Ovis aries: one gene and its partner. The protein of the gene in region 1 interacts with the protein of each later gene in a pairwise test. Links are inferred from orthologs where the notes say so. Each region holds a gene or a part of one and is shown on either strand. Other genes may lie near its edges.

Evidence for each region.
Region 2: the proteins of PEX16 (region 1) and PEX3 interact in binary tests that used the Homo sapiens proteins (3 or more experiments, as listed by UniProt). The link is inferred for Ovis aries from reciprocal best matches to the Homo sapiens genes PEX16 and PEX3.

Annotation. Positions count from the first base shown.
Region 1 is NC_056068.1:74,867,250-74,879,562, reverse strand, and holds PEX16 (peroxisomal biogenesis factor 16), read left to right. Parts: upstream 1-4,414; 5' UTR 4,415-4,480; coding exon 4,481-4,592; intron 4,593-4,807; coding exon 4,808-4,843; intron 4,844-5,660; coding exon 5,661-5,737; intron 5,738-6,045; coding exon 6,046-6,179; intron 6,180-6,318; coding exon 6,319-6,419; intron 6,420-7,352; coding exon 7,353-7,433; intron 7,434-7,582; coding exon 7,583-7,711; intron 7,712-7,800; coding exon 7,801-7,873; intron 7,874-7,999; coding exon 8,000-8,119; intron 8,120-8,431; exon of another isoform or gene 8,432-8,641; intron 8,642-9,522; coding exon 9,523-9,587; intron 9,588-10,034; coding exon 10,035-10,093; 3' UTR 10,094-10,193; downstream 10,194-12,313. UniProt on the Homo sapiens protein: Required for peroxisome membrane biogenesis. May play a role in early stages of peroxisome assembly. Can recruit other peroxisomal proteins, such as PEX3 and PMP34, to de novo peroxisomes derived from the endoplasmic reticulum (ER).
Region 2 is NC_056061.1:68,110,484-68,122,140, forward strand, and holds the end of PEX3 (peroxisomal biogenesis factor 3), read left to right. Parts: intron 1-784; coding exon 785-909; intron 910-1,177; coding exon 1,178-1,244; intron 1,245-1,354; coding exon 1,355-1,409; intron 1,410-1,957; coding exon 1,958-2,126; intron 2,127-3,672; coding exon 3,673-3,743; intron 3,744-5,724; coding exon 5,725-5,847; intron 5,848-7,678; coding exon 7,679-7,775; intron 7,776-10,681; coding exon 10,682-10,765; 3' UTR 10,766-11,623; downstream 11,624-11,657. UniProt on the Homo sapiens protein: Involved in peroxisome biosynthesis and integrity. Assembles membrane vesicles before the matrix proteins are translocated. As a docking factor for PEX19, is necessary for the import of peroxisomal membrane proteins in the peroxisomes.

The DNA of each region.
Region 1 (12,313 bases):
GCCTCATTTTTAGCCTAGAGCTGGGATGAGTGTGAGTGAATCCCTCCCCAGTCCCCTCAGCAGAGACTGCGGGGGAGTGGATAGGGTACCCTGTGAGGGCCTGATCGGGGAGTCTGTGCAGGGAGCTGGGTCTGCAGAATGTCGGTAGTCACTCACGGTACTGGCCCTACCCCTCACTATCATTCAGGGGGATATTGAGGTGCTGAGATCCTTGCTGGGCCTCCAAGAAGTTCTTCTGGGGTGTGGAGCGGGGAAAGGGAGGTAGGCATGGGCATGTGAAGGATGCTGGTCTTCTAGGCCAGAGGCCTCGTTTGACCTAGCTCTACCAGGACTTTTCTACGTGACCTTAGACCACCCAGGCCCCTTCTCTGGGCCTCGGTGTCCACCTCGGTATACCTGTTGGACTGGTCTAGCTGTCTTCCCCTGTGGTTCGGGCCAGAGTGAAGGAGACAGGATCAGGTCCAACTTGCCCAAAGGCCCTTCAAAGCCCAGCCCAGGTGACCAAATTCAGGCAGGGGCCCAGGAGGGCGGGGCTGCCCTGGGTGCCTTCTGTACACACGACCCTCTTTGTCTCTGGGACCTAATGAGGCACAAGATCTGGAGAGGAAATTCAGGCCCCTGTGCTGCTGCCAACCTGGCTGAGCTCCTGATCCCTTCCCTGGCCTGAGGGAGGGAAGAGAAACAGCCTCCAGCCCCAGTGTCCCTTACAGTCTGTCCAAGGGTGGGGGTGGCAGGCGCGATCCTCTGTCTCCCATGCCCCTCTCCCTCCCCAGAAGCACTGGAACCACCAGCCCTGGGAATGCCAAAGAAACCCTGCACAGCCCCCTTCCTCACTCTCTCACTCTGCCTTCCACACTTCCCCTTCCTCACTCTGCGTCTCTAGCCTCAGATACAGGGGTGAGAGTACTGCTGATGTGGTTTGGCAAACAAGTTCTTTAAGATGGCAGGGGATGTAGGAAGGAAGGAAGGAAGAGCCCCAGCCAAATGCCCTGAGCCCTAGTCTTAATCCCAGTTGCTAACTTGATTCATGACCAAGCGGCCTCAACAGTCACTGCTCTGGCTGAGCTGTGAGCAGAAGAAGAGAGGACCCTGTCACAGGAGACCCTCACTGTGGTCTCTTTGACCAGTGCCATGCTGTGTGACCTAAGACAAGTCCATTCTCCTCCTTGGGCCTCTTGTTCCCCATCTGTGAAATGGAATTCATACCAATCTGGCCAAGTTACTAGGAGGAGTTAAGTATGAGTGAGCCTGGCACCCAGGAAGTGGTGAAAAATAATGTAGATGATACCCATGGCCACCTCTCTGTTCCCCAGGAGGTTTGCCACTCTTGAGGCCCTGGACACATCTCCCTGAGTCTTCATTCCCTGGCAGGGGCAGAGCGGGAAGTTAGATCCCCCGTCTGAAAAAGAAGGAAACTAAGCTGGGGGGAGACTTAGGGAGGCAGCTCAAAGATGGGTTGTGGTTTCTTGGTGAGGTGTGTTACAATGCCTGATTCTGTGGTCAGACTAGACCAGGATTCCAATCTTGATGAGGCGTTCTTAAGCGGATCCTTTGCTCTTGTGGAGATAATATCTGGTGGAGAGGATTAAGTAAAATACTGTACTATTCTCAGTTCAGTTCAGTTCAGTCGCTCAGTCGTGTCTGACTCTTTGTGACCCCATGAATCGCAGCACGCCAGGCCTCCCTGTCCATCACCAACTCCCGGAGTTCACTTAGATTCACGTCCATCGAGTCAGTGATGCCATCCAGACATCTCATCCTCTGTCATCCCCTTCTCCTCCTGCCCCCAATCCCTCCCAGCATCACAGTCTTTTCAAATGAGTCAACTCTTCCCATGAGGTGGCCAAAGTACTGCAGTTTCAGCTTTAGCATCAGTCCTTCCAAAGAAATCCCAGGGCTGATCTCCTTCAGAATGGACTGGTTGGATCTCCTTGCAGTCCAAGGGACTCTCAAGAGTCTTCTCCAACACCACAGTTCAAAAGCATCAGTTCTTCAACGCTCAGCTTTCTTCACAGTCCAACTCTCACATCCATACACGACTACTGGAAAAACCATAGCCTTGACTAGATGGACCTTAGTTTGCAAAGTAATGTCTCTGCTTTTGAATATGCTATCTAGGTTGGTCATAACTTTTCTTCCAAGGAGTAAGCGTCTTTTAATTTCATGGCTGCAGTCACCATCTGCAGTGATTTTGGAGCCCCCCAAAATAAAATCTGACACTGTTTCCACTGTTTCCCCATCTATTTCCCATGAAGTGATGGGACCAGATGCCATGATCTTCGTTTTCTGAATGTTGAGCTTTAAGTCAACTTTTCACTCTCCTCTTTCACTTTCATCAAGAGGCTTTTTAGTTCCTCTTCACTCTCTGCCATAAGGGTGGTGTCATCTGCATATCTGAGGTGATTGATACTTCTCCCAGCAATCTTGATTCCAGCTTGTGTTTGTTCCAGTCCAGCGTTTCTCATGATGTACTCTGCATATAAGTCAAATAAGCACGTTGACAATATACAGCCTTGACATACTCCTTTTCCTATTTGGAACCAGTCTGTTGTTCCATGTCCAGTTCTGACTGTTGCTTCATACACATTTCTCAAGAGGCAGGTCAGGTGGTCTGGTATTCCCATCTCTGTCAGAATTTTCCACAGTTTATTGTGATCCACACAATCACAGGCTTTGGCATAGTCAATAAAGCAGAAAGAGATGTTTTTTTGGAATTCTCTTGCTTTTTCATAATCCACCAGATGCTGGCAATTTGATCTCTGGTTCCTCTGCCTTTTCTAAAACCAGCTTGAACATCAGGAAGTTCACAGTTCACGTATTGCTGAAGCCTGGCTTGGAGAATTTTGAGCATTACTTTACGAGCATGTGAGATGAGTGCAACTGTGCGGTAGTTGGAGCATTCTTTGGCATTGCCTTTTCTTTCTTGGAATGAAGACTGACCTTTTCCAGTCCTGTGGCCACTGCTGAGTTTTCCAAATTTGCTGGCATATTGAGTGTAGCACTTTCACAGCATCATCTTTCAGGATTTGAAAGAGCTCAACTGGAATTCCATCACCTCCACTAGCTTTGTTCGTAGTGATGCTTTCTAAGGCCCACTTGACTTTACATTCCAGGATGTCTGGCTCTAGGTGAGTGATCACACCATCGTGATTATCCGGGTCGTGAAGATCTTTTTTGTACAGTTCTGTGTATTCTTGCCACCTCTTCTTAATATCTTCTGCTTCTGTTAGCTCCATACGATTTCTGTCCTTTATTGAGCCCATCTTTGCATGAAATGTTCCCTTGGTATCTCTAATTTCCTTGAAGAGATCTCTAGTCTTTCCCATTCTGTACTATTCTCAGAGTACCATAAACCTGCTGCCCTGGTCCCCAACAGCGCAGCCCCGTGGGCCCCAGCCTTGCCCCGCCCCTTTGCCCACAGCCAATCGGCGGCCGCCTCTTCCGCGCATCCGTTCCCTCCACCTCTGGCCGCTCCTCTCCCGCCGCCACTTCCTTCCAGGGAGGCTACCCTGTTTGGGAAGAGATTCCCTGGAGAAGTTCTCATTTCTTGGGAAGCAGCTGAGAGCTGGAAGATGCACCGGAGGGCCAAAAAGCGCTGTGAAATTGATCCCGAGTTCAAAGAGCCCGTCTGCCCTCTAACCATTTTACAGATGGGGAAACCCGAGGCCCAGAGAAGGGAAAATCCTCGTTAAGGTCACCCCGAGCGGAGAGCAGAAGCCCAGGCCAGGCTTTTCTCCGTGAAGATGGGAGTTCAGGTGCGCGATTTGGCGGGAGGGCGGCGGGAGGGAGGACATGCTCCTTGTGGGAGCCGGGGCACTAACGATGCTGGCCAGGGGGATCTTGACTGCGTGGGAGGCTGGACTTCTCGCTGCCTCAGTTTCCCCAGCACTACCTCTGGGAGAAGTCAGGCGACGAGGCAAGGGGCCAAACGCGCGCCTGCACACAGTCCGATTGTCCTTAGGCTGTCCCCGCGCTCCCCACCCGCCCAAGTCTGATGGAGAAGGCTCCTCTGTGGGCGCTGCCTCCCAAGCCCTTTAAAAGCCAGTCCTCCCGTTCGAGCCTCTCGGCATTCTATTGGGAAGGCTCTTGATCCCTACTCCAGAATTAACTGCTCAGGCTGCCGCGGGAGCTTTTTCCCGGAGCTCTAACTGCGCAGGTGCAAGGCAGCAAACCCGGAAGGCGGAAGAGCCGGTGGGGCCGCCGGGGTCGGGGGCGGAGAGCGTGTGAACCAATGACCTGAAGGAGTTAGGAAGGGCGGGATTAGGCCCGCGGTTACTTAACGCTACCCTGGTGGGAGGTGATTTAAGAAATGGGGTGAAGGGTGCCTCAACTGCCCTTCGCGTCGCCGTCCTTCTGGCCCGCGGAAGTTAAGCAGCAGAGAGGCGGGCCCAGCGCCGGAAGCAGGAAGGAGGGCGCAGGAAGCAGGGCCCCGTAGCCAGTATCGCTGTCGGTCCGTGGGTCTGTCGGTCCCGAGGGCAGGATGGAGAAGCTGCGGCTGGTGGGCCTCCGCTACCAGGAGTACGTGACTCGTCACCCGGCCGCCACGGCCCAGCTGGAGACGGCAGTGCGCGGCCTCAGTTACCTGCTGGCAGGTGCCACCCTGACCTTTGACCCATCCCTTCGGATCTCTGACCTCTGACCCCACCTGCCTCCCCCTCCCTTCCCTGCGGAGCCTGGGTAGTGATCGCTGTGCTTGAGGAGTTCCTTCCAGGTTCCCGTTAGGGCATAGGGAGGGAATGTCCAGGGGCCCGAAGCAGCAGGGAGAGGCAGACTCTCACCGGCGCCTCCTTCTGTGCCTTCTCCCCAGGTCGTTTCGCCGATTCGCACGAGCTGTCAGAGCTGGGTGAGCCGGGCTCTGGGGTGGGTGGGGGGCGAGAGGGTGGGGGAGGGCTTCCTAGATTTCCCGTTAGATCATCCAGTTCTGTGATTGAATCAGACAGGGGTCCAGCGTCCACTGTCCTAGGCCGTCGCGTATGCCCCCTCCCCCGCCATAGTTGAGAGATATGTCTGGGGACCTTGACTGGTCAGGAGGCTGAGCCAAGCGTCCCTTCTGCCTTTGCTCCGTTAATCTTCCCTACAGTCATGTGAAGTGGGTACTGTTATTGTCCTCCTTGTCCAGTTAAGGGAACAGAAGTTTAAGTGAGGTTAAGGAACAGCCACCGAAGGCCTCAACCAGAATTCATGTCCCAATCTCCCAAATTCCAGAATGCCCAGGTTATAACTGCTTCAGTGGTGTTTACCCAGTCAGTACAGGAGAGACAGATCCTGAAAGGATGAGCTGGGTTCTAAAAGGTAGGGATGGAAGAGAATTTCAAGGACAGGCTGCAGAGAGAGCAAAGACCAGGAGGTGACTGCACCTCCCATGTCTCTTCGGAGCATGATGGGCGGTTCTGGGCTGCTGGATAACCAGTGCTATTCAGCAGGACAGTAGCTGGTATGTCATAGAGATCAAACCATCCTTTCTTGTTCTAGCTGCTCACACAAAGGTCGTTGAGGGGAGTGGAGAGCTCTGAGGAAGTGGGTGGCAGGACCTGTTGTTTCCACATATTGTGGGGATGGCTGAGCACAGCAGGGGATAGGTGATCCCTGCTGCTCTAGGGAGAGGGGGAGGGGGTGGAGGCTGCAGAGCCAGCCTCTCAAGGCCACTCTCTGCCCCTCAGTGTACTCTGCCTCTAACCTGCTTGTGCTGCTCAATGACGGAATCCTACGGAAGGAACTTCGGAAAAAATTACCCGTGGTAAGAATTGTGAAGCAGAGGGCTCAGGAACAAAATAGTAACCACCAGCCCGTGTTTGGGGCACGCATTATGGTCTCCTGGAGTACGAGACATGGCTGCATCCACCTGTGCCTGTAGCTGTTGGGCGACAAGTCCAGGCATCAGTGTCCCCTTATCAGGTGAAAAGACTGGGTTTCACAGGGTAGAGTCGCCTGTCCCAGCAGGAGATCTCAGGCTTAAGCACTTAATCTTGGGAAGGGGAGGTGTCCCCTGGGGGAGGAGCTGAAACCAGGGGGACCTCCTGACCTCTTGGCCTGGGGTTCTTGCAGTCCCTGTCCCAGCAGAAGCTGCTGACATGGCTGAGCGTGCTGGAGTGTGTGGAGGTGTTCATGGAGATGGGGGCCACCAAGGTGTGGGGTGAAGTAGGACGTTGGCTCGTCATCGCCCTCATCCAGCTGGCCAAGTATGTCGGGACTGTGGAGGGCCGGCCTGGGGTGGGGGTCACTGAGACCAGCTGTACCGATGGTGTTCAGTAGAGCAGCCTGGACCCCTGCCAGCTAGCCACCTCCCCCTTCCCCAGCCCTGCCGTACTCCCAACCCAGGGCTGTACTTCGGATGTTCCTGCTGATCTGGTTCAAGACTGGCCTCCAGACCTCACCCCCCATCGTTCCGCTGGACAGGGAGACCCAGGCACGGTCCCAGGGTAAGTGCCTACCCACTCTGGAGTGGAATGGGGCACGGGGCTGATTGGTAAATGAGAGCTGACCTACGTACTGTCACCGTGGAGCACACCTCTCCCCATCAACTCATTTTGTCCTCATCGTCTTATACTGGTATTTTACAGAAGAGAAAGAATGATGAAGTCAGAGGCCAGATCAGAGCTTAAACTCAGAGCTTCTGACGTTGGAGTCCTCAGTCTCCATTGTTATGGGCTGCGGGAAGAGGGGACAGAGCATCAGGAGGAAGCAGGGGTCTTGCCAGCCTTGTCTTTGGGCTGGCTCTGTATCAAGAGCACAGCCTCATGAGGCAGGGTACCCAGCAGATGCGCCCCTTCAGGGCTTTGGGCCCATCAGCTGCTGGCCTCTGGTCTTACCCCCTTGACTTTGAGTTGGGGGCAGGTCTTCACTTCTGTTTTCATGGTCATGTTGAAAGCAAAGCTCTCAGAAGATACACCCTTCCCCTCCTTCTTAAAATTTTTTGTTTATTGGCCACGCCACACGGCCTTTGGGATCTTAGTTCACTGACTGCGGGTGGAACCCTCGCCCCCTGCAGTGGAAGCATGGAGTCTTAACCGCTGGGCCACCAGGGAAGTCCAGATATAGCCCCTCTGGCTGTGGTTCCCATGGACCACCGGCCCCCCTGCCTTGTTCCAGTGCCTGGGAGGCCTTAGTTCTTGGCTGGTATATCTGCACAGGTGATACTGGCCTTTCCCCAGGTTGGGGAGGGCTGCAGAATGCTCCCTGCTATGGATAGGTCCCAGGCACAGCCTCTGCTGTGGTGTCTTTGACTCAGCTGCTGTCTTCGTACAGGTTTATCCATTCTCCCCATAGCCCATGAGCGTTCACTGCACCTGCATTCGCTTGTAGGCTCTGCACGTGTCCCTCTGACAGTATGACCTTTTATCTGTTGCTGCTAGATGGTGACCACAGCGCTGGTAGCCAGGAGCAGTCATATGTGGGGAAGCGGTCAAACCGGGTGGTGCGAACCCTCCAGAACAGTAAGTGTGGGAGGTTGCTGGATGAGACAGCTCGGTGCTTAGGTCAGCGTGGGCCTGAGGGCCTGGCTTTCGTCAGTGCCTGCCTGCCCCCGCCCCAGCCCTCGGGCCCAGCCTCTTACCTACCTCTTACCTCTTACCTTGTGTTCTAGCTCCGTCCCTGCACTCCAGGCACTGGGGGGCCCCGCAGCAGCAGGAGGAGCTGGGCGTCGCCCCCACCCCACTGGGGCTGCAGGAGACCATCGCCGAGTCCTTGCATATCGCCCGGCCTCTGCTGCACTGTATCCTTAGCCCAGGCCGGGGTTGCGATAGACGGGGGCAGGCAGGGCGGGCCGTGTGCCGGAGACATCCTTAACGCCGTGGCCGGCAGTGCTCAGCCTGGGCCTCTGGGGTCAGCGGTCGTGGACACCCTGGCTCCTGTCCGGTGTCGTGGATGTGACCAGGTGAGCTGGGCCTGCCTGGGGGCCCCATTCCCTCCGTCCGGCTTTGTGCTGCAGGCCTGGCCTCACGTGGGCAGGCAGGGTCCCTGCCTCTGCTGTCGCTGGCCTGAACCTTGTCCCCTCCCCCAGCCTGAGCCTCCTGAGCGACAGGAAGGGCCTGACCCGGCGGGAGCGGCTGGAGCTGCGGCGCCGGACCGTCCTGCTGCTCTACTACCTGCTGCGCTCCCCCTTCTACGACCGCTTCTCCGAGTAAGGACTGGCCTCTGGCTTGGCAGAGCACCCTCTCCGCGGGGCAGGGCAGGGGAAGTGGGCTGGCTCCCCAGGCTTGCTCACGCCTGCCTTCCCTCCCTCCTTCCCCGATCTGGGTTCACGGAACACGTGCCGTGTGCTACCCTGGGTGTGCTCACTCCTGATTTCTTGGGGCCATCTGCCCAGTGTGCTGCTTAAGCTGCTGTTGGCAGGCGGGGGCAAGGCCCCAGGGACCGTGGGCATGAACTTTCCCCATCCTAAGCTTGCTCGCCCACTTTCCTAAACAGTTGGGTTATTTCCCACTGCTCACAGGAGACACTGAAGTTCAAAGAGGTTGGGCAGCTGAAATGAAGCCACCCAGCCAGCCAGTTCCGACACCCATGCTCTCTCCTGGCCCGTTCCTGCCTCACCCAGCCCTTCCTCCATACCCTGAGAGGGTCCAGAGCTCCTAGCCACAGAGAGGCCTGCTGGGCGTGAGTCAGGGGTGACTCGGCGCCAAGTCTCCCAAAGAGGTCACCTGAGGTCAGACCGAGATTTGAGGAGGGGTCCCTATACTGTGACTGGGGCTGTGAGACAGGCTGGAGGCTCCCGGAACCCACTCTGTCCAGGTCGTAACAAGAACACTGCTTAAAGGCTGGAGTGATCGTTAAAGGCTGGAGTGATTGTTAAAGGCTGGAGTGATCGTTGGAATCGTACTTAACATTCTGTACATATTACTTCTGTTCATTTTCTGAGTTGGTAGAAAGTAAGCTTAGGTCAGATTTAATAACCACCTCATGAAAATAAGTTTCTATTTTCAGATCAGTTTGAAAGCTCACAAGGTTCTAAAGCCAAATCCTTTTCTACACTCCAGAGAAAATGCTCTGGAGACTTTGGTGGATCGTGACCTCTGCCCACAGATGGCTTGCACTCTACAGAGGAAGCATTGTAGCCCCAATATTGGTCTGAATTGAGGATTACCTAATTGCAAAGGTGGCTTCCCAGGCTACAGGCCTCCAGTCTGGCCTGTCTTCCTGCCAACCTGACCAGCCCAGCACCCTTAGAGCAGTGGCCCAGACTGAGGAGGGCCCAGAGCCTGTCCCCCAGAGGACAGGGGCAGGGTGCCGAGGACCTCTGGGATATAGTCTGGGGAGAGAGAAGTTTCCTTCCCCCTTCTTATTGTCAGACAATATAGTCTCTGGCTCTGGGCTGCCTCCCAGCTGTGGGCTGAGGTGTGACCCTCCCAGGTGTGTGGCTGGGGACGGCTGGACCAGAGCCTTCTGTCTCCTAGGATGTCCTTGATGCATGTGGTGACCTTCTGGCTTCTGGGATGCACTGCCTTTAGTCAGGTGGTTAGCAGAGGTTTTACACGCCTGGGTTTGCAGGAACCCAGGCCCCCTACTTAGGCTACTCCGTTGTTGCAGGGCCAAGATCCTCTTTCTACTCCAGCTCCTGGCAGACCACGTCCCAGGCATTGGTCTGATCACAAGTAAGCGTGGGGTGATAATTACCATCACGGAGCTTTTGTGTGGCCCGGCTCCCTGTACCTCCTTGTAATCTGACTCTTGGCACAGTTGGGAGAGGGAGCGCAGAGGTCAGGTTGGGAGGGTGACAGCTCCTTCAATGACATGAGACCAGCTTCACTGGCTGGGGACTGTACGGAGGAATGACACCTGCTGGCCATTTGGAGAGGCACCCTCAGCAGAGAGGCCCTGGGCCAGGGCTACCCACAGGGACAGCGGGACAGCTGTGTGATTTCTGTGAGCTTGAAACTCTTTGTCTGTAAACATAGCCAGAGATGGCTCTGATGCTCGCGGGGAAGGTGGGAGGGTGGGGGCTCTGACCAGGCGGACGGGGGCCTCAGGAGGGCCCTGGGTAGAGCTGGATTGGAGTCTGGCCCTCAGTCCTGAACTTGCTCCCCTCTCTGTCATTGCAGGGCCACTCATGGATTACTTGCCCAACTGGCAGAAAATTTATTTCTACAGTTGGGGCTGATGGACATTCCGCAAGTGGGGTGTGGGGAGAGGCAGGGGATGCCTCAGCTCTTCAAGTCCCTGGGCCCCTTTGCCCTAATAAAACTGACTCTGGCAGCGTCCACGCCTGTGACTGCTCCATGCCCCCGACCCGGGGCGCCCGGCTCCTGCACTCTGGCTGGGCTCCGCACACAGCCCTGGTCTCCACTAGAGCGCCCTTAATTCCCTCTCGACTCCGCATCCTGAGGGGAAGGAAGCACACGCCGCACCTCATCACTGGCCGGGGTGCCCTACTAGGACCGGGCCACGGGCTTCTGCAGCCTAGAAAGCTGGAACCCACCTCACGGGAAGCTGCGATAGCAGATGCTGCTTCTCTCTTGATCCCTGCTGACGGCCAGCCAGGCTGAACCCAGACTGGGTGACAGCTGCCCCTGTGTCTTCTGGCCCACGCCCTGCTGGGGCCTGATGCCTGGCAGCTGCTCCGTGGTGGAGCGTGGTGCTGGTGGGCCTGCCTCAGTGCAGAGGGGCACCTCAAGCCCTGACCCCTGCTCGAGAGCAGCAGGCCTTTGTCCTGTGGGAAGGGGACATCAGGCCCCAGCCAGCGCTGCGGCCGGCCCTGGGCAGCGGTAAGGTTGGCAGGGCTAGGAGCTGCCACGTGCGGGTTCACGGGGCATGAGCCGGCGTCTCCCCTGTGGTCTTCCTGGAGGCTCCATGCAGGGATTTGGGCATGGCGGCTGCTGTCTTTCTGCCTGCTCTCTCCCTTCCCTCAGTCTCTGCTGTCTTTGTGCTATGAGCAGACCGCGTGCTCCTGCTGGAGCTTCCAGCCGGTCAGGCAGCCGCTTGGGTTCTGAGAGGGCTCCATCTGCCTTGTGTCAGCTGTGCCTCCGCTGCCCCCAGACACCCTGGGACGGGCTGGCTGTCCCTGACTGCTTTCCCCAAGTGCCTCTGAGAAGCCCCGTCTGGGTCCCGGGCGGGGGGCGAAGGCACTGGGTGGTTACCACTTGAGACCCGCAGCCTTGGCTGGGCATGGTAGTGTGCTCTGGGGCTCGTGCTGTGCGTGGAAGCGAGGCAGGCCCAGCTCGCCGCCCTCACTCTCGACAGCGCGCGGGACAGGTGTGTGGATGCCTCCATGTGCCGAGTTGTTGCGGTTGGTGGAAGTATGCGCGGCCCATGGTCAGACTGCCTGCCCGCCCCAGCCGGAGGGCACCCTGGTCAGGGAGTCAAGCCGGCTTCTAAACTGCTGAGACTTCATCTGTTTTCAGCAGGCAGACGGGAGGTGGAGGCTGTGTGTGCAAAAACACAGCACAAGTAGTTGTTGCAGTGGCCTGACGGCCCTGCTGGGGTGGGAGGGCGCCCGAGCGGCGGGCAGGGCCGAATCCACCAGGCCATCGCGCCCCAGGCCAGCAATGTCGCGGAGGAGGTGGTGGGGAGGGGCCTGTTTGAAAGCGCATCTCAGGGGGCCTGTGGGCACGGGAGGGGGAAGGTGGAGGCCTGCAACCATGGGTGGGGCCAAGTTAAGACGGTGGCAGGAGGGGTGGGGGGCGACCCAGCCAGGCCTTGGGGACTGGTTGTGGATACAAAGGAAGAGGGTGGCGTCTAGTCTTGGAGGCAAGGAAATGAGGGGTTTGGAGTTAAGAGGAGCCAGAGTGTCTGAACTTGTGGTTCCTGGCGGAGGGCAGGGCGGGCAGAGGATGCTAAGGCGGGTTCGTGGGAGCCAGTTGTGTCCAGGGAGGGAGCCGGGTCCACACTGAGTTAGCACGGGGCCGGGCAGGAAGCAGAGGGCCGTATGGCCTTGCCACAGGCCTGTGAAGAGACTCAGTCTCTGGCCTCATCAAGGATTCACTGAGCACCCAGCAGGCATCCAGTACTGGACATCCGGTAGTCCCTGCCCTTGGGAAGCTTGCACTCGAGAGGCCCAGGTCCCAGGCTTTGCCACCTATGCTGAAGTCCGTGTCACCCTCGGAGGCGGGTTCCTGAAACCATGCTAAGCTGCGGGGGGGCAGCCTGGGGGGAGTGCCCTCAGCATGGGCTAGTCTGGTGGGGCCTGAGTGGGCCAGGGCCCAGGGACCTGCTCAGGGCTCTCCAGCTGCAGGACCTACCTGGGGCAATTCAGTGTGGGAGGGAGGGGGTGGGAGAGGGAGGCTGGGCGAGGAGCAGTGGAAATGCCGGGGCTCTGGGCGGTGGCTGTGACCTCTGCACAGGGCCTCCTGGGTGTCCGTCCCTGGGCAGGTGGTGTAGGTAC
Region 2 (11,657 bases), on another chromosome or scaffold:
GTGGATTCTTTACCACTGAACCACCAGGGAAACACAAATCATGCTTAAGCTTTGCCTGTTTGAAAATGAAATAAACCTGTGTAGTACCCTATATTTCCTTTCAGCTATTGTACTTTTTTTAATCTCCCTTGTGTAATACTAAAGCTTTCTACATTCTGTTTCTTTTCTTCTGCACTCCCTCTCATTCTGTGACACACTTGGAGCCTGGTTTCCACTCCTGTATCTCCATCCAAGCAGATATCACAGATCAGTAGTGTTGCTAAATCCACTGGACATTTTCCTCGTCTCAGCAAGAGTCAGCACCTTTCTCTTACCTCTGTTTTGAACAGTCGGTCCTAAACACCTGTGAAGACTGGTCTCTGTCTCTCTGTACCTTCCTCCATCCCTGTATGAGCTTATCCTTTGTGCTCTTTTACCTGCCAGTGACAGCTGGAGCTCTTCATGCTCAGCGCTCTTCCCTGATTCTGAACAAGCTCCTTGGACAGCTCAGAGCTCTGAGGCTACAACTGAGTGCTTCCCAGTCCTTTAACCCTTCACTGAATATATTGGTTATTATCTTTATTGGTTATTGTTTCAATTAAGAGATCATTCCTAATTGACAATAAATATTTTGTAATCAGATAAACTGAAATATTTTGAATTGATACATTTTTGTACTTGAAGTAATTATAAACGTATATTTTAAGTTGTCTTATGAAAAAATAACATAGGGATGGTTTGCGATTTTACACATTTGTTTGTGTTTTAACAATTAGTACCAAGAGGTTTTCTTTTCTCTGCAAAGGTTTCACAAGAAGCATCGTAGCTGTGTACAGTACTTGCATGCTGGTGGTTCTTTTGCGAGTCCAGTTAAACATAATCGGTGGATATATTTATTTGGATAATGCAGCAGTTGGCAAAAATGGCACCGTAAGTTTAATAGACTTAAACTGATACTGCCTTATCTTTCAAGAGATTCAAAATTTAACCAAATATTATCATGATAATTTATATAGAATAATTATATTTCATGTGATTATAAACTTTAACCATTATTTTTCTTCATATGTTGAAACTAGACTTGGTTATGTTAGAGAGTAGTGTTTCCTATTGTTCTAGGTCCTAGAATCTCAGCTTCAGTTATAATGAAAACATTATTTATTAATAATATTGAGCACCTTATGTCTATTTCGTACAGACAGTTCTTGCTCCCCCAGATGTCCAACAGCAATATTTATCAAGTATTCAGCACCTCCTTGGAGATGGTGAGATTCTTATTTATGACCTGTAAACTAATTCTAATTCATTCATTTGTATTATTGAGGAATTGAAAATGTAAACAAGGCTTTTTTTACATTTATTTTTCTTTTTATAGGCCTGACAGAATTGATCACTGTCATTAAACAAGCTGTGCAGAAGATTTTAGGAAGGTGAGGCATTTTGCATTGGCTTTTCCTAACTTCCTGAGTCTGATGAATAAAAGAAAAATTAACATAGTTCTAGTGAAGCTGGTGACTTGACAAACGGTGGTCTGCAAAACTCTTTTAACCTAATTCAGACACAGCCCTGGGTATTACATTGTGGAATCCGTTTTCTTCATCGGTATCAACGTTTTGATACTAAGGGGAAAGCTTTAATATTTCATTGTGTATTGATTGATTTCAAAACAAACCAAAAATATTTGGGTCATGAGACAAAAGACCTGCTTTTAAAAATCTGCCTCTGAGGCTTTTAACTCCTGTTCATATGGCAGTGTCTTTAATCACAGTGGGAATTTTCTTGTGAAATCTGCAACGAGATTTTTCTTGGCCCCAAACCAATGGCCGATTTCTTAATCTACTCTGATGATTTCATAGTCAGTAGTTTCAGGTGTGACGGGATGAAACAGGATCTCGGGTAGTAACCTGTTAGGAAAGGAGTATTCGTAGGACGTGTGGTATAGTTTCACTTATCCCAGTTTCCTTTTCTCTGTTTCTAGTGTTTCTCTTAAACATTCTTTGTCCCTTTTGGACTTGGAGCAAAAACTAAAAGAAATCAGAGATCTCGTTGAGCAGCATAAATCATCTTCTTGGATTAATAATGATGGATCCAAATCTTTATTATGCCATTACATGATGCCAGATGAAGAAACTCCATTAGCAGTTCAGGTGCTTAATTCAAAACTATTTAAGCAAAACCAGTTACTCTTTGCTGTTAATGTTTTTTTCATTATGTCTTAAAATTTAGATTTCTGAGTCTCTTGAAAGGTAAGTGATTGAAAGATACATTTCAATAATTTAAATAAAACCTCACTAATTTAGAAAACAAACTATAAATGTGATTGATTTCTAGTTTGAAAGCATTTTAGATATTCAGCAAGATTTTATTGAATATTAGTTATGTGACAGACACTATGATGTATGATTGAGATACAAAATGAATAAGCATGTTCAGTAAACCTGGAGAATTCAGAAGACAAATTCAGTTCCAGTGGCTAAAGCATATTTCTTTGAGATCAAGTAACAGAAGATAAAGCTGGTGGCTGGGGACAGTATCATAAAGAGCTTTGTATGCCAAGATAAAGGGTCTAAACTTCCAGTTCTAGACAAAGGTGAATTTTGATCAGGTCAGTACCACAATCATGTTTACTTTTTAAGATAAATCAGTGATAACAGTATCAGAGTGCACTGAAGGAGGTTGTAGTCATCCAGTTGAGAAACAGAGAAGGCCAGTTCCAACAGTTATCAGCCATGGTGTTGCTATACCCTGGTGTGTCCCGGACAGTTGTGATCTAAATTACTCATTGATTAAGAATAATAAAAATACAAGGATTACAGGTTATAGGCCTCTTTTAAAGTAATTGCTGCTTATTAACATGTAAGCAGATTGCATCCATTCTTTGCAGTTGAGAGAAGGATCTTCCTCACTTAACGACTGGAGAAGTCTTAGACTAAAGAGGCCCTTGTGCCATACCTCAGCCTAAAGGCCCTGTTGGAACAAAGATTGCCATGTTTTTCATTGCCTGCTTCCCGCTCCCCTGGAGGCTCCAGAGATAGGTTGTAAGCCATTTAAGAGAACCTCATGAACCCCTGCAGAATGGAAGCTAAACTGAATGAACAGAACAGACCTGTCAGAATTAACAAGAGAAGCAAGAGAAAACTCACTTAAAAATTAGAATCTTGAGGAGATGCAATAATAGTATTCTTAAAGATTTCTGGAATGATAAAGCAATTTCCACATTTTAAAATTCAACAGTGGACTTAAAAAAGAAAATAATTCAAAAGAACAGGTAATGAGAGGGACGATGGAGCACATCTTATCTGAATTGAATTTAAACCTACAACTTAGATTGGAAGAACACATGGAGCCTTAGATTAAACTAGATTGATGAGAAAAGACACATGCATATCCTAATAAAATCCCTTAACAATAATAGAAAAAAATATCTCTGGCCTCTGCAACCTGGAAGACTAATTTTTCTTTGTTAATATGTCCTTCAGATAAATAAAGATCTTATAAAGACCCTATTGTGACTCAGTGTTTTAAATGCTACTCATCTGTGCACATCAACCTGTATAGTTTCTTTGAGTTGAACATGTTTTTTTAATTGTTGATAGGACATAGACTTTTCAGATTTCCTGAACTCTTGAGTTTGTTTCACATTAACCCTGTGCTATATTTGAAACCCTGAAGTGTGGCCTTTTAATTTCACAGGCCTGCGGACTTTCTCCTAGAGATGTTACCACTATTAAACTACTCAATGAAACTAGAGACATGTTGGAAAGGTATGTACACTGCATGTCACAGGAACATGTGCTTCTATTTTAAATGTATTCATGACCATCTTATAGTTTTTCTTGGACAAATATTCAACATAATATTTTGTTAAAATTAAATTTTAAATATATTCCCCTGCTTTTAGTAGGATTTCCTACCTACACTCGTGCTTGTCTTGTTAGGGTAGGGAGGTAAGCAGAGATTTTTTTTCCAAGACACCCAGGATTGCCCCTACCTGTTTTCCTAGCCTAGAGATTCTGATATACTAGTTAAGGGACCGGAAGATAGTTAGCATTTATATTTTGAGGAAAGCTTTAAATGGTGATTCTTATATGCCCAGTGTATTCTGGTATATGTTTAACAACTAGCCCTATAAAGAAAACAAAAACGAAAACTAAAATTGTAGCCACAGCAGTGCTGACTCTGCTGACTCCTAATCTGATGCCACTCAGTGCTGACTTGGGAAGAGGTGCTCTTGCCAGCCAGAGCTAGCCAGCTCTAGCTAATCCTCAGGTATACACACGTGCACACGTGCTGTGTGTGCACACACATACGCAGTTATGAGAACTACTTCCCCTGACCCTTTCAGGTTCGACTCTCATATTACTAAATCTTTGAGTGATAAAAATTCACATCCGCCTTCAATAGAGTATTAACTTTTTTAAGTTACCCAGAAGAGAGCCAGAATGTTACAAATGGGAAAAGCCCCAGATTGTGTATTAGAAGATGAGAGGACCTAGATTCAAGGTTGGCTCTGCTGTTTATCAGCTGGTCAACCTTGGTTGAGTCACTTACACTCTTTGAGGTAGTTTTATCATTGTGAAATCTTAGTGGTAATATCAGTTCATCTGCTTTATCTTAAGTGATTAAAGTATCAGTGTTTTTTAAATTAAAGATAATTTAAGATCATTTTCTCTTGTTTTCTGGGCAGATTATATCCTTTGTTTTTAATATTTTTTCATGATCTTGAAGAAAATCAGCAAATTTTCTAGGTTAATTCAGCTATTATATGAATTCATCAAGTTCTAGTCCTTGACTTTCTACAATATCAATCTCTACTTCTTTTCTTATTCAAGTCACTTCATGAAACTCTGGAAGGTCATCAGTGTTCTTTTGTCAAATCCAGTCGACCTGTAGTGTTCATCTTTCTTGACCTTCCTCTGATAATTAACGCTGTTGATCAAGGTTTTCTTGAAATTCTTTCTCTCATGGTTGCCTTGACAGTCTCCCAGTTTTTCCCCAGTTCTCAGATCATTTCTTCTTAGGTTCCTTTATGCCTGTCTTTCCTTTAAATACTAATGTTTCCCAGGTATTTGTTCTTTTTTCATCCTCAACTGCCCCAGGCAATTTTATTTACTCCCATTACTTTACTGTTTATATGTTAATAATTACCAAATTTATTGCCATGTGATGAATTGTGATTTCTACACGTCAGAGACAGAACTAATCTGTTCAACTGGGCAGTTCCTAACCCTGATAGCATATATATTACTCTTCATATCAAAGAGTTTCTGTGAGGTAATAACATGATATAACAAAAAGAGCTTGAACTTTAAGATCAGAAAGGCCTGGGTTCAAATTCTGCCTCCTATATTTACTAGTAACATACCTTAGGATAAATTTCTTCATGCATCAAGTGTCCAGTTCCTCATCTGAACACATAAACAAAATATTAATAGAGTTTCCTCATAAGAGTTTCCTCAAGAGAAGTAATGATTACTGATATTTATAAAAGTACATTTATGAAGTGCCGCATAATGTAAGAAAATCTAGCGAAATGAGCAAATATCCTCACTGCATTACGTTATACAATTAGCCCTCTTTTTATGCTTAATTTTTAATATTGACTCCTTGATACATTTTTATAGTGTTTTAGTTTATAAAATTGTGACTAGAAATGGTGGTGGCTGTCAAAGGTAGCCACATAGTTACTAAATTTTTGCCCTTTTCCATTGAAAATCTAAAAAGTAATTTATCTTCTTTATGTAGTCCAGATTTTAGTACAGTTTTGAATACCTGTCTCAACCGAGGATTCAGTAGACTACTAGACAACATGGCTGAGTTCTTTCGACCTACTGAACAAGACCTGCAACATGGTAACTCCATGAATAGGTAAGAAGACATATAAGAATGTTACCAGTCTTATGACTATTCTGATAAAACAGTGCTTTTTGATATGTTAATTTTTTGTTCCAGGTAACAAAAAAAGAAAATCTCAGATGACAAATGTGAATGTTTATTTTTTCAACAAATTAAACTCTGTTAAGCCAATGACTCCTTCATTAGGAGGAGCTCTTTCAGTATTCAGTGTTTAAATGTTTATTTCTTCTAAAATTTTGCCACTATACAGAAGTACTTAACTTGTGAAACTACTTTTCCATAGGCCAGTTTCAATTATTGAGGCTTTTTTAATTTAATGCTTTAGAATACAAAACTATGAAAATGTTATTTAAGTTCTAACATTTTCTCTTACATTATTCCAGCACTATAAGATATAATTGGCCTTCATAATTCAACCAGGCATTCTTGTTCTATATTCCCATTTGATGAATTATCTCCTAGTTCTGTAGCCCTTTTTGTTTAGATAGTACAGATGATAATGATTTAAATCATAATTACTAAGTCATGGATTCACTCTGCCAAAAGATAGCTTATGGTTTTATTATAATCTCAGCATGAGCACCTTAAATCTATTAGGATTTACACTGTTTTGCAGTTTTTTTGTATTAAATTCAGAAAATAATAGGTACTAAATCCATGTTAACTGACTGTAGACTCATCTGTTAAAATTAGGGATAACAGTAACTGATACGCAGTATGTATGTGCAATGCCTGTTTTAATTCTCAAATACATAGAGCAACAGTTTATTTGCCCAGTTCTCTGGGACCACTCTTTATTATACAAAAAGGATTAATTGGCAGTTAACATTGAGGATTTGGAATGCTTAGGGTCATACAGTTTATTTTCTGAAGCAATTTAAATGTCATCCTAAAATCTTTTATAGCAATTCTTTAAATTCTCAGAAAAAATTCAGCCTCAGTAAGTTCTCTAAATTAAGGTGCTCCAGTCAACAAAATTTCACTACAGTGTCTATCTAGCAAAAGTATTAGTTATTTACTGAATAGTGATAAGAATTTTTATATAAAACAAATACTTGATCTTGTACACTAGAGAATTATAAAAATTATGTTGCAGTTGTATCAGCCATTTCAATCTTTTCTTAACTCCTGTAGTACTCATGATCACTCATGTAGGACTCAAGTGTTTATTATACTTAACTATTTGACATTGCTAGTAATTAAGGGAAATACAGACCAAAACTGTGAGATAATGATTTTTAGCTATCAGATATATGAAGAGTAAAGAAATGCTTGATGTAGAAAGGAGTCATGATGGAGCAGGTATCCTCTCAGACTGTTAGAGAAGCAGAGGGAATTTGGTAATACACATTTTAAAGCTTAAAAGCATTCATATCCTTCAACTCAGTAATTTACTGTAAATACAAAGAGTTATTTATATTAAAGAAAATTAGGCAAAAACTCAATGCCCAACCATAGGGAGCTGATGATATAAGTTGTCACAGCTAGAGGATGGATTACTATATAGTAATTTAAAAACAAATACTTTGGAAGAACTTTTAATGAGATGGAATGAGTGATTATAGCATGAGAATAAAAATGCAAAACAGTGTTGCTTGGGAGGTTATAGCTGGGTGATAAAAACACCCAAAAAGTATAGATATGTATAAAAAAATTACTGGAAGAAATTAACTATGATGTCAGTTATAATTGTTATTTCTAGATGGTAAAATTATGTTTGGTCTTTATTTTCTTACTAAAACATTTCTGTAAGTACTTTTCAATGGCTATTTCTTTTATAATTAAATGTTAAATTCCTATAAAATAATTTCAGAAAATAATTATTACTGTGATGATTTTTCAGTCTTTCCAGTGTCAGCCTGCCTTTAGCTAAGATAATTCCCATAATAAATGGACAGATCCATTCAGTTTGCAGTGAAACACCTAGTCATTTTGTTCAGGTAAGAGGAGAGCTTGGGTTATTATTCAAAACAGACTGTACTTTTGGTTGTGGTCCTATTTGTCTAACATAAAATTACATTTCTCTTCTATGATATTTGTTCAAAGAAACCAAAAACTTGAAGCCACATGTAGAGTACAATAGAGTGCCCCATGAGAGTATAATATCATGGCACTTTTATGAGGTTGGGAATACCTTTCTCCATGTTATAGTACAGCACATGTTAGACACACTGCATTTTAGTCCAGATATATTCTAGCGGTCAGTTGAATTTAGTGTTAATGTTTTGTATTAAGCTGTGCCTTGAGGCAAATCAGTGAACCAGTCCCTCAGATTTTGAGGAAAAATGAAACATTTTTGTAGGAAAGTAAAGCATTTAAATAGTTAATAAGTATAACTGTTAATAGTGCACCAATAATCTGTTCATTAAAAGCTGCATCCTCAGTAGGTTATTTAAATTTTTCATTCATCTCCCTATAACTCTATCTCCTTTCTTAGGAAAGCATTTTATAATAGAATACACTGAATAAGACTGATTTTACTAAAAGAACAGCTTTGAATCCAAACTTTTCTTCCAAGTTATTTGCAAACTTGGAAACTGTATAACCAGCAATAAATTACTCATAATACACCTCAATTCCAAACTACTGCCATAATGTGCAGTGAGAAGAGAGAGACTCTAGGCCTAAGTGTAAAGATAGTATCTTCTCAGTAATATTTATCTCAAATTAGAGTATCTCTGGTTTTCTACTTGAGAACGTGAAGAGCCGTGAGGCTATGGGTTGTAATTCTTCCTTTCTCTTATATAGAGTCATTGGCTTGTCCTTCACATGTGGCTTAATTTAAAGTTTAATTTTAGCTGAAAATTTTTTGAACTCTTATGTTTTAAATTTTTTTCTTTTAATTTTTATGTGCATATTAGTGTAAGAAAAAAAATAGTTGTAACTTCTGGCATTTAAACCTTAACTTTACCTTTCTCCATTTTCATAAAAATCTCTGGCTTCATCAGTAAGCTGTTCATCTTGATGAGCAGCATAATATATACACTGGGGCTTCCCTGGTGGCTCAGATGGTAAAGAATCTGCCTGCAGTGCAAGAGACCCAAGTTCAATCCCTGGGTCAGGAATATCCCCTGGAGAAGGGAATGGCTACCCACTCCAGTATTCTTGCCTGGAGAATTCCACAGACAGAGAAGCCCCGCGGGCCATAGTCCTTTGGATCGAAAAGAGTCGGACGTGACTGAGTGACTAACACAGACTTAATGTAACATCAGCTTTGGTGCTTAAATAATTTACATACTATATTACAGTCTATAACTGAGAATGAAAATAAAAGGTACAAACATCATTGATACTAATGCTTAGTATTAATAAATTTTCTTAGTATCATTGGATGTAGATTGTTTATATACTAGACCATTAATTGACAAGACTTCCACCAGTTTTTTAAATTACGATTTCTGTGAGTTAAAGTACCATGTGGTATTCAGAGAATTTAACTATGAATTTGTGAGATGAAGACTTGCTAAGCTTACTTGGGTTTTCTGATGCTTAAGAGAGAGCATCAAGGATAGGTTCACTTCCTGTTTCTCTGCTGCTCACTGGGCAGCATAGACCACATAATGGTTTCTGTTGCCATGGGTCCTTTCACTCTCTGGGGAAGCCTATGGACACCTCAGAATGATGCCTATAAGTGTATATTGTAAAATAGGTAGGTTTTAACGAAAACCAACTGTATACAGTTTCAAAATATTTTTTAAAATGACAGTTCATGTAACTTCTGCAACTTACCTAGCATATGATATAAAAATGTCTGAATTCTGCTAAAGACCAACTCACAGGTTCTACTGTCAGTTTGTTGCTTACATACACAGGTGAAAGAAATGCTAGATTTCAGTTAAAGGTTCATGAAAAAAAGATGTAATTTTTTATTTACATTGGAAGTGAAAGTGAAGGTGCTCAGTCGTGTCTGACTCTTTGTGACACCGTGGACTGTAGCCCACCAGGCTCCTCCGTCCATGGGATTCTCCAGGCAAGAAGACTGGAGTGGGTTGCCATTTCCTCCTCCAGGGGATCTTCCCGACCCAGGGATCGACCCAGGTCTCCTGCATTGCAGGCAGACACTTTAACCTCTGAGCCACTAGGGAAGTCAACATTAACAAATCCCATAAGAACCCCTGTTCTCAGGTATATATGTGTGGTTGGTTATGTATGTGTGGATATATTATTGTGGAGAAAGCAATGGCACCCCACTCCAGTACTCTTGCCTGGAAAATCCCATGGACAGAGGAGCCAGGTGGGCTACAGTCCACGGGGTCCCAAAGAGTCGGACACGACTGAGCGACTTCACTTTCACTTTTCACTTTCCTGCTTTGGAAAAGGAAATGGCAACCCACTCCAGTGTTCTTGCCTGGAGAATCCCAGGGACGGCGGAGCCTGGTGGGCTGCCGTCTGTGGGATCGCACAGAGTCGGACACGACTGAGGCGACTTAGCAGCAGCAGCAGCATATATTGTTGCAATCATTTATTCAACAGATACTCATCCAGCATTTGACACACACACACAGAAAGACTGTTTTGGATCTTCTTAGTGTGAGGGGGAAAAGTTGTAAGTTGTGGCATTTATACTTTATCTTTGTCCATTTTCATAAAAGTCTCTGCCTTCATCAGTAAGCAGTTCATCTTGACAAGCCACACTTGAATACTTATCATACCCACTGTCTCTCATATAAGAACTTAATAAATATCTCCAGGAATTTATTATAGAAGAAACTACTTTCATTAAATGGTTTTCTTTTTGGCCTTAATGCCACAAAACTTTGAGCCAGATTTGTTGCTTGATTGCAGAAATGAATTCAGATTATCTGTTCTTTTACAAACTGTAATATTTTATTCTCATCTTTGCTAGGATCTGTTAATGATGGAGCAAGTGAAAGACTTTGCTGCTAATGTGTACGAGGCTTTTAGTACTCCTCAACAACTGGAGAAATGATTTTTTTTTCCTTCAAGAATAGCTACAATGGAATTCAGTTACTTTTTTAAAAAAATGCATCGAATAAATCAACTATATATAGGGTAATGATTTGTTACCATAATGTCTAATAAAAATATATTCTTAAAGTCTTCATAATAAAATAGATTTATTTGGCATCTTAATATATTTTTTTAAAGCCATCAACAGACTGGTTTTTGTGGGCATACCTGAGTGTATACAGTGCAAATATCAGAATTGTTAATAGTTTGTTACATCATGGATATTAGTTCCAAGTCAAATAATGTAAATACTTTATACTTTGACATTAATACTGAGGTAAAATCTGTTTGGGAAGTAGATATAAAGTTTGGAAAAAATGCTATTTAATCGTAAAGTTCACCAGACTGCAGTATACAGGAGAGAATCAGACTTTTCTTCGGTTAATCTTCAAAGAGATAAATACTTTGTCTTAAATATACCTGGTTGAGAACTTTCTTTTTTAATAGAAATCAGTTAATTTAACAACTAGGATTAGGACTTTCCTGGTGGTCCAGTGGGTAAGGCGCCATGCTCCCCCTGCAGGGGGCACAGGTTCAATCCCTGTTCCCTGGCCGGGGAATCTAAGATCCTGCATCCCATAGCACGGCCAAAAATAAGAAGGAACAACTATGGTCAGCAATTTTTTTCTTTACTGTTGTTAACAATCCTTAGGAAACTACATACTGATTTAGAGGTGAACATTGTGTTGATGCTGTCTCCTCAGCTGCTATTAACTACTGTGCATAGTTTCATTTATTTGTATGTAAATAATTACAGCTTACTTTGTATTGATTTTAAGCACAGTGAATCTTATTACAATAAAATATTTTAGTAAAATATGGTTTTATCGAGTTAATACTTTACAGCTATT